Bombyx mori: one gene and its partner. The protein of the gene in region 1 interacts with the protein of each later gene in a pairwise test. Links are inferred from orthologs where the notes say so. Each region holds a gene or a part of one and is shown in the gene's direction. Other genes may lie near its edges. The genes, in order: phosphatidylinositol-3-phosphatase SAC1 and vesicle-associated membrane protein-associated protein B.

The links.
Region 2: the proteins of phosphatidylinositol-3-phosphatase SAC1 (region 1) and vesicle-associated membrane protein-associated protein B interact in a two-hybrid assay, tested with the Drosophila melanogaster proteins (2 studies listed by BioGRID). The link is inferred for Bombyx mori from reciprocal best matches to the Drosophila melanogaster genes Sac1 and Vap33.

The regions. Positions count from the first base shown.
Region 1 is NC_085126.1:9,639,923-9,643,752, forward strand, and holds part of phosphatidylinositol-3-phosphatase SAC1, read left to right. Parts: intron 1-289; coding exon 290-457; intron 458-1,077; coding exon 1,078-1,179; intron 1,180-2,668; coding exon 2,669-2,805; intron 2,806-3,130; coding exon 3,131-3,218; 3' UTR 3,219-3,830. UniProt on the Drosophila melanogaster protein: Phosphoinositide phosphatase which catalyzes the hydrolysis of phosphatidylinositol 3-phosphate (PtdIns(3)P) and phosphatidylinositol 4-phosphate (PtdIns(4)P). Has low activity towards phosphatidylinositol-3,5-bisphosphate (PtdIns(3,5)P2).
Region 2 is NC_085107.1:10,902,539-10,907,124, forward strand, and holds the start of vesicle-associated membrane protein-associated protein B, read left to right. Parts: upstream 1-1,697; 5' UTR 1,698-2,079; coding exon 2,080-2,131; intron 2,132-4,586.

The DNA.
Region 1 (3,830 bases):
AAATATTTTTGTGTAAGTTGATATTACCCCATGGCGAAGAACAGAAAAAAAACGAAATCGCTTCTTTTTAGTATCTTTCATATTATAGCCCCCATGATAATTTTGAAAAGAATGCAATAATAAAAAATTTAACGTTTCTGAAGAAGTTTTACTTCAATATATATTTTTTACTCGCAAAAGTTTCATTTTTACCCCCCAAAATTTCATTTTACCCAATTTGGGGTAATTTACCCCGGTTCCCCGACCGCTGAACTAGAGTATGATGTAAGCATGAGTGTTCGATGGTCAGGTGTGGGCGGATCACGCGGACGCCATCTCCACGCAGTACTCCGGGACGGGCGCCCTGAAGACGGACTACACGCGCACCGGCAAGCGCACGCACGTCGGTCTGTTGCGCGACGGCATCAACTCCCTCACGCGATACTACAAGAACAACTTCAGCGACGGCTTCAGACAGGTGCCGCCAATAGCTCCTCCAGAGCGTCTCCTGAGACGCCATTGAGAGTCCCAAATTGTTCCCGACGCTGATGTAAACGGCGAGGGAACGTATTGTCGACAGTATATCAAACACCATCTTATTTGGTTTCCATTCCGCGGTTCTCAAAATTGCAAAATTTTTTTTATTGCTCAGATGGGTAGACGAGCTCATAGTTGTGGTGTTAAGTGGTTACTTTAGCCTGTAGACATCTGCGACGTAAATGCACCACCCAACTTGAGATATGAGTTCTAAGGTCTCAAGTATAGTTACAACGGCTGCGCCACCCTTCAAACCGAAACGCATTGCTGCTTCACGGCTAAAATAGGCAGAAATATATTACAATTTATGGAATACTGTTACAATTTGTACAGTAGATTGTGGGGAATCGGGATGCTTTCCAATTCCAACACAAATTTTCAGCGGTTTTACTTAGGGTAATAACAATAAAATTTATATTAAAATGGTTCCGGAGGCTTAAATTTTTATATACGATACATTATTAGATATAGTTCATTGAAAAATAATAAGAAAGAAATAGTACGTACTACCCTATAAATATAATATACTTATCCTATAAAGTTTGATTGTTTAATTCCCAGGACTCAATAGATCTGTTCCTGGGTAAGTACGTGGTCGCTGAGGGCGAGGGTCTGGCCGCCCCGAGCCCTCTGAGGAGAGGACACGACTGGAAATATATCACGGTAAATATCTCGTTTCGTTATTTCTAACTACCGCCACTTTTAATTCTGTGAAATATCAAACCAATTCCTAAACGCATTCGACATCTTTGATTTTAAAATGTAGCTATCTCGCTCTTTACTTAACCTCTCTCTTGTCTTTTCCTAATAGGGCTTATCAATTAATTAAGTGTTTTAATCTATAAATGTATGAAAAAAACAATTTCATTATAAAAGTACCGTCATTTTATTCCAAATACTAAGAAAATGATTTTTCTTGGTAACAATAATGGTAGTTCGAGGATGATGAACAATGATTATATACCTTTTTTTTTATTGCTTAGATGTGTGGACGAGCTCACAGCCCGACTGGTGTTAAGTGGTTACTGGAGCCCATAAACATCTGCAACGTAAATGCGCCACCCACCTTGAAATATAAGTTCTAAGGTTTCAAGTATAGTTACAACGGCTGCCCCACCCTTCAAGCCGAAACGCATTACTGCTTCACGGCAGAAATAGGCAGGGCGGTGGTACCTACCCGTGCGGACTCACAAGAGGTCCTACCACCACTTCGTTGGTTCCTTAACTGAGGATCTCGATAATCCGACAAATCGAATGGCTGCCTCTCTTTATCACGGGTCTGAAGAAGACTAGCGTTGGGAGATAGAGGATTTCTGGTTCTCCTAAATCTAGTTTCTTTCTGTTGCCTTTGTAGGCAGATAGGCATACCACTCATCTGATCTCCAGCGTAGTCACCGTTGCTCATGGATATCAGCTATGCCATCAGCTATGTTATGCCAGATATTAGAACTCATATCTCAAGGTGTGTCTCTCGGCATTTACGTTGTAGATGTCTATGGGCCGGCCTTAATTATTTTTTTATTTCAGGACATAATATAAATCATACAAGACTTGGGTTCTGCCTTTTTAAAAATTTATTTCAGAAATTATATAGAACAGAAAAGACTGTAAGAGCTTAGATCCCCTTGCCTATCTCAATAAGGAAAAATGGTACCAAAAAAAATGTCTATGGGCTCCGGTAACCACTTAACACAAGGTGGGCCGTGAGCTCGTCCGCCCATCTAAACAATAAAAAAAGTAGTATCAGTAATAGTGGAGCCTACAGTAAAATTACAATACTGCCCTTGGCTATTACATTACTGCATGTTTCCGCCCTGGAAGATTATGCGTTCGGGCTTACAAGCAGAGAAGCTGTGCTAATAATACTTTTTTTTGTATTGCTTAGATGTGTGGACGAGCTCACAGCCCACCTGATGTTAAGTGGTTACTGGAGCCCATAGACATCTACAACGTAAATGCGCCACACAACTTGAGATATAGTTCTAAGGTCTCAGTATAGTTACAACGGCTGCCCCACCCTTCAAACCGAAACGCATTACTGCTTCACGGCAGAAATAGGCAGGGCGGTGGTACCTACCCGCGCGGACTCACAAGAGGTCCTACCACCAGTAAATGATTATGTCATTAAATGATTATAATGTTGTTGCGACAGCTCCCTTCCGTGCTGCTGGTTGCCATGTCAATGTTCTGCGCCCAAGCGGTGCTGCCGGCGCGCTACTCCAGCGAAGTGCTGCTCTACCTCATGTTCTGGGGGGCGGCTGCTGGAGCGACGCTCTCCTACATCGTCAGGTATCTCTATTGACATTCGATCGAATTCGAACCTAGTGCAGACTTCAGCTCTTTCAAAGGCCTACAAAATAAATTATAAGGTTAATTTCCATTTGTATTTGTACCTATACCTTTAAGAGAGAAATATTTTTTTATTGCCTTTGTAGGCAGACGAGCGTACGGCCCACCTGACGGTAAGTGGTTACCGTCGCCCATGGACTTCAGCAATGCCAGGAGCAGAGCCAAGCCGCTGCCTACTGCAAAAATTATTATTATTATTATTATCGTCTGTTTTCGGAAGAGGTCTCCTAACACCCATTACAATAATATGTTTCGTGTCTCGCAGGCACGGCGCGGAGTTCGTGGACTGGCCGAGTCTGGACGCCGGGGGCCTGGCGTCGGCGCGCGCCCTCGCCGCCCAGCAGTCTTTATGATCGATGACCTGCCGCTCGTAGTCGTCGTGTAGCCATCTCGCTCGCACCCGCCGCGCGCTCCCCGGACCGAGGGGGACAGGTGATCTATCGCAGCTCCTCGCGCGTCCCCGTACGGCTCGCTAGTTCTTCGTTCACTTAGTGCGAGTTTTTTAACGTTGTCGATAGCGTAAAAGTTAACTCAACTTTGTATGCAGTTGGAACAGCGCCCCTAGCGGCAAACTTAAGCAATCGTTCCAATTCCTCGTGTACCAATTTTGCTAATGAAATACGTACTCAACAAATGTTCACGATTGACTTCCACGGTGAAGGGATAACATCGTGTAATAAAAATGAAACCCGTAAAATTATAATTTGCGTAATTACAGGTGATAGGACCTCTTGTGAGTCCGCGCAGATAGGTACCCCCGCTCCGCCTATTTCTGCCGTGAAACAGTGATGCGTTTCGGTTTGAAGGGCGGGGCAGCCGTTGTAACTATACTGAGACCTTAGAACTTATATCTCAACGCGGGTGGCGCATTTACCTTGTAGATGTCTATAGGCTCCAGTATCCAGTTAACACCAGATGGGCTGTGAGCTCGTACATCCATCAAAGCATTAAAAAAAATTCCATGC
Region 2 (4,586 bases), on another chromosome or scaffold:
CTTTTCATGATGCGCATGCAGAGCATGCGCATGCATGCATGCTTATTCACAAACACTACACCAACGCAACGTGTGAATGTGTTGAACGCGAGCTACATAGTAGGCGTAGTGGGGGTGTTCGGTTATTTTCGTTACGGAGTTTCTTGATTCAGTCGCCGCGCTCAAGGCCCGCGATAGAAGCTATGCAATAGCTTAAAAAAGAAGTTGTAAATGTATCTGGCTCCAGTAACCAATTAACATCAGGTAGGCTGTGAGTTGTGTTGGGCAGAACACCAGCCAGATGGTCAGATCTAGCAAGAGAAGCACTCGGTGGTAGTCTGTACCATACAGTCCATGCCACCCATGATCGGGTGCATTGGAAGTACATCGCATGTGGTCGCGATCCTCAGTAGTGAGGGAACGATATAAAAGAAAACTGTGAGCTCGTTCGCCCATCTATGCAATAAAACAAACAACAAAAAGGTTGTAAATGTATCTGGGCTCCAGTAACCACTTAACATCAGGTGGGCCGTGAGCTCGTCCACCCATCTATACAATAAAACAAACAAAAAAAAGTTGTAAATGTATCTGGGCTCCAGTAACCACTTAACATCAGGTGGGCCGTGAGCTCGTCCACCCATCTATGCAAAGAAAAAAGTATAAAGTAGTTCAAGAAGTCGGCTTATGCAAAGAATCCAATCACTGGTACAAAATTTAAAAAAATCATATGTCTAAATAAATAAAAAAGAAATCAATAATTTAATGATGCACACACATGCGCATGCAGTGTGACGTCACGCCACGCGCTTATTCACAAACACTACACAAGCGCAACGTATGAATGTGTTGAACGCGAGCTACATGGTAGGCGGAGTGAGGGGTGTAAGGTTTTTTTCGTTACGGAATTTCATGATTCGATCGCCGTGCTCAAGGCCCGCGATAAAATCTATGCAATAGCTTAAAAATTCAACGATCTTTAAGCACAGATAACTAAATTTAAGCTAAATAAGTAATTTTAAAATAAAAATTGAATTTATATATCAAAATCATATTAACATAGCAATATGAAATATATTATGTAAAATTAGATTAAAACTAAGTCAAATACAGTCCGTCAAGTTTTTGTAAGGTTTGTTAATCTAGTCAGTTTCATGAACGTATTCTTTATGTCTTTCGACACTCTAATACTGCTTGGTATTCCTAGCATGTGACCAAGCAACAGTATTGTTCTATCTAAATAACTTTTCTTTATTTGAGACATGTATTTTTTTTAAATGTTGTAGGTAGTGCCTGTTTTTCTTCTCCTGGTCGTGTAGAATTTTACTACCTACAACTAGGAAGAAATATTGTAGTACCATTATTACGATGGTAACTAGACATTCAAATTAGTATATTCAAATTAGTATATTCATTACTAACTATTATTCTCCAATTAGTTACTTAGCAGTTTTTAACCTGGTTCAATAACAAAGAGAACATAATCACTTACACTTACTAACTGGTAGTGAAAGATTATTAAACTCTAAAGATCAATTTACTTTAAATAGTTCATATTTTCTTTTATATCGTCATTCTCTGCGGCATTTAATTTTCATATGCCTACAAGACTTCTACCAACATAAAAAGAACTAGGAACGGTTCGACCTAATCTAGAAATAATTAAGTTCTATAGTTTCAATGGATTTAGTAGGAAATTGAAAAGATTGCGCACGCAGTGAAATCGTAGACGTCACAAAACAGATCTATATTGAATGTAACTATTCTGAAAACCTTTTAAAAATATAGAAATTACTTCTTAGTTTTCATAATTTATAAAAAAAAATATTGCCTAAAAATATTTACTAGAAACTTATTGCGCATATTTAGTTCATTTTACCTTTGCCTACATTAATTGTGATTTTTTGATTTCTATTCATAAAATACAAATAGCTCTCAGAATATACGCCTTCGAAAGGAAAGAGACAACGCATGCGCAGTGCTCTGCGCATGTCTATTCGTCATTCCACAATTCTCGTTCGCTTTGGCCGACATCGCGGAAAGATATTTTTTCTCAATCTGTTAAATTTTGCCAACGAGATACTGTGCTTATAGTACAATAAAATGCCTAACCAAGTGCTAACTATCGAACCACAAAATGAATTAAAATTTAAAGGTGAGAATCACAATGTTTGATTAACTTTACGCTATTAATCGCCGCATTGAAACTTGTGAAGCAGACATAGGTCGTTAGCTAGATGCTGACAAATGGAGTTTCTATTTCCAGATATCGGCTTTTTGTTAAGTTCCGGTTTTTTCATTATCTTTTGTATATTATCCAAGTAGAGTATGTATTTATTCCGATTACTAATATTATCAACTTTAAATGAGTCCTAGTCATATTAATATATCTGTGGTTCCTGGAGATCATTTTCACAAACATAAATGGCTTAGCTATAATATGCGATACATACGCTTTGTATTTAATTATATTAGTACAGGCTGTTTCATTGAAAAGTAACTATCTTAGAAAGTGTTAGGTATTTAAACAAAATAAACTAGTGATGTTGGTATTTCTTTATTAATCTGATGCTCTTGAATATACATAATTTAAATAGGCACTGAAATTTTTGAAATTATTACATGAAACAAAATGAATGTCTAGTCAGTAGTAGTATCAGATAAGACTATCTATTCTTAGTTAATTTTAATATGATTGTAAATGTGATGAAAAAACATACATAGCAACCAAAAAGACTACTGTTAGGAAAGAGGCAACACTAAAAACTGGTAACTTATTTATATTCTAAATGCAGTTATAATTTGTCACTATATTTCAACTTTGACCTTTGACTAATATTTAAGTTGTATGTATTTTATTGAAGTAAAACAAGTTTTCATTTATAAACTATAAAACTTTACGTTTGTGTGAATAGAAAGTGAGAATGAACACATTAGAACCAGATCTTTTTTATACTAGCTATTTAGTCTACAGGACATTACGTTGCTGTTACAATCACAGGTATAACATATTACTATGACCACAAGCTTGTGGTTGTTTCATATCTTCATTGCACAGCTATGCATATTTTTAGTACAATTTCTATTTAAGGCAGCCTCCTTGGCCCAGTAGACTACTGAGAAGCGTGTAAGCCTAGTGAATCGGGGATAGAAATTCACAGTAAATGTAGTTTCATTTTAAACATATACAAAATAACTTAAGAATTTACATGAATTATTTAGCAATAGACGTTTAATTTTTTTTGCTGTATAGTCTGAAAACTCTTAGCTTATTTTGTGCAACTTCATATATATATTATATCATTGTAATCTTGACTAATTAATTTTATCAGTAATATTATTGATTCATAGTAAAATAATTGTATGTATATAGGTCTCTTAATTAGACTAATAAGTTAACAGCTAATGGGTAAAATGACAAAACATAACGTTAATGTGTTTGTAGTAGTCATTACCTTAAACTTGTAGTTTCTTTGTTTATTTTTCCATTAATTAAGATACTTTATCTGTTTTGCAAGCATCAGTTCTAATAGGCAGGAATATTGTGTATTTGTAGTCAGAAGAATAAACATTGATAACAATTTCCCTAGACTTAATACACAATGGCCGATAATAAGCTAAATTTGTATGCAGGAACTTGATTTTGCCCTAGACATTGCTGACCAATTTGGACGTTAACCACTCACCACCATGTGGGCCAGATGTTCTGCCTACAAAGGCAATAGAAATAAAAAATATTGAGTTTTTTTTGGAAATTATGTATATTTCTCAGTGATGAATATCTATATATTTAGATAAATTAGTATCTAAATCAGTCTCTGAGTGCCATAGTACAGGAAGTCCTAGATTGAGACTGGATTACTGTTTGTAACTTGTACCTAAATTAAAATATTTTATTTTATAAACTAAAAACATTTAATAATATTTTAAATAAAAACTGGGAACAAATTATGCATGGTCATGCGGCTCCGACTTAGGATTTCCTGTGCTATGGGTACCAGAGACTGACAAACATGGTTACCTGTTTTTAAATATATACAAATACAGATAATAAACACTTAGACAAAGAGCAAACAAGATTGTTCAACACAACCTTCGACACAATTGTCAGGGGTGCTAACTAGTATGTTGAATGTTGAAGTATGCTGTAATGCCCATATTGTTGAGTAGTGCATCCCATCTAGAACCTCACATCTCTCTTGTTGCCTGAGTTCACATCTCTCTTGTTGCCTGAGTTCACATCAGGGTCTATGTACAACAAACTAACTGGATACTTTTGGGACTGTGATATTGGCAATAAATAAATAAAAATATTTCGAATATCAAAGACTATTATTAGTAACAGATTTAAATTACTATTATTCTAAAATCTGGCAATCAAGCTTTAGTAAAATAATTCATTCATAGTAATAGGGAGTTTATTTTTATCCATTGATACAGTATCACAATAAATATTAGTAACTATAATTTTATTAATATTATTTATTAGAATCATATACTGTACTAGAATACCATATTACTGTATATTTCAATATACTATGGGCAAATATTTGCGTGGTAATCACTGTTTAATGTGTATCTATATGCTAAGCCTCTATATTATATTATAT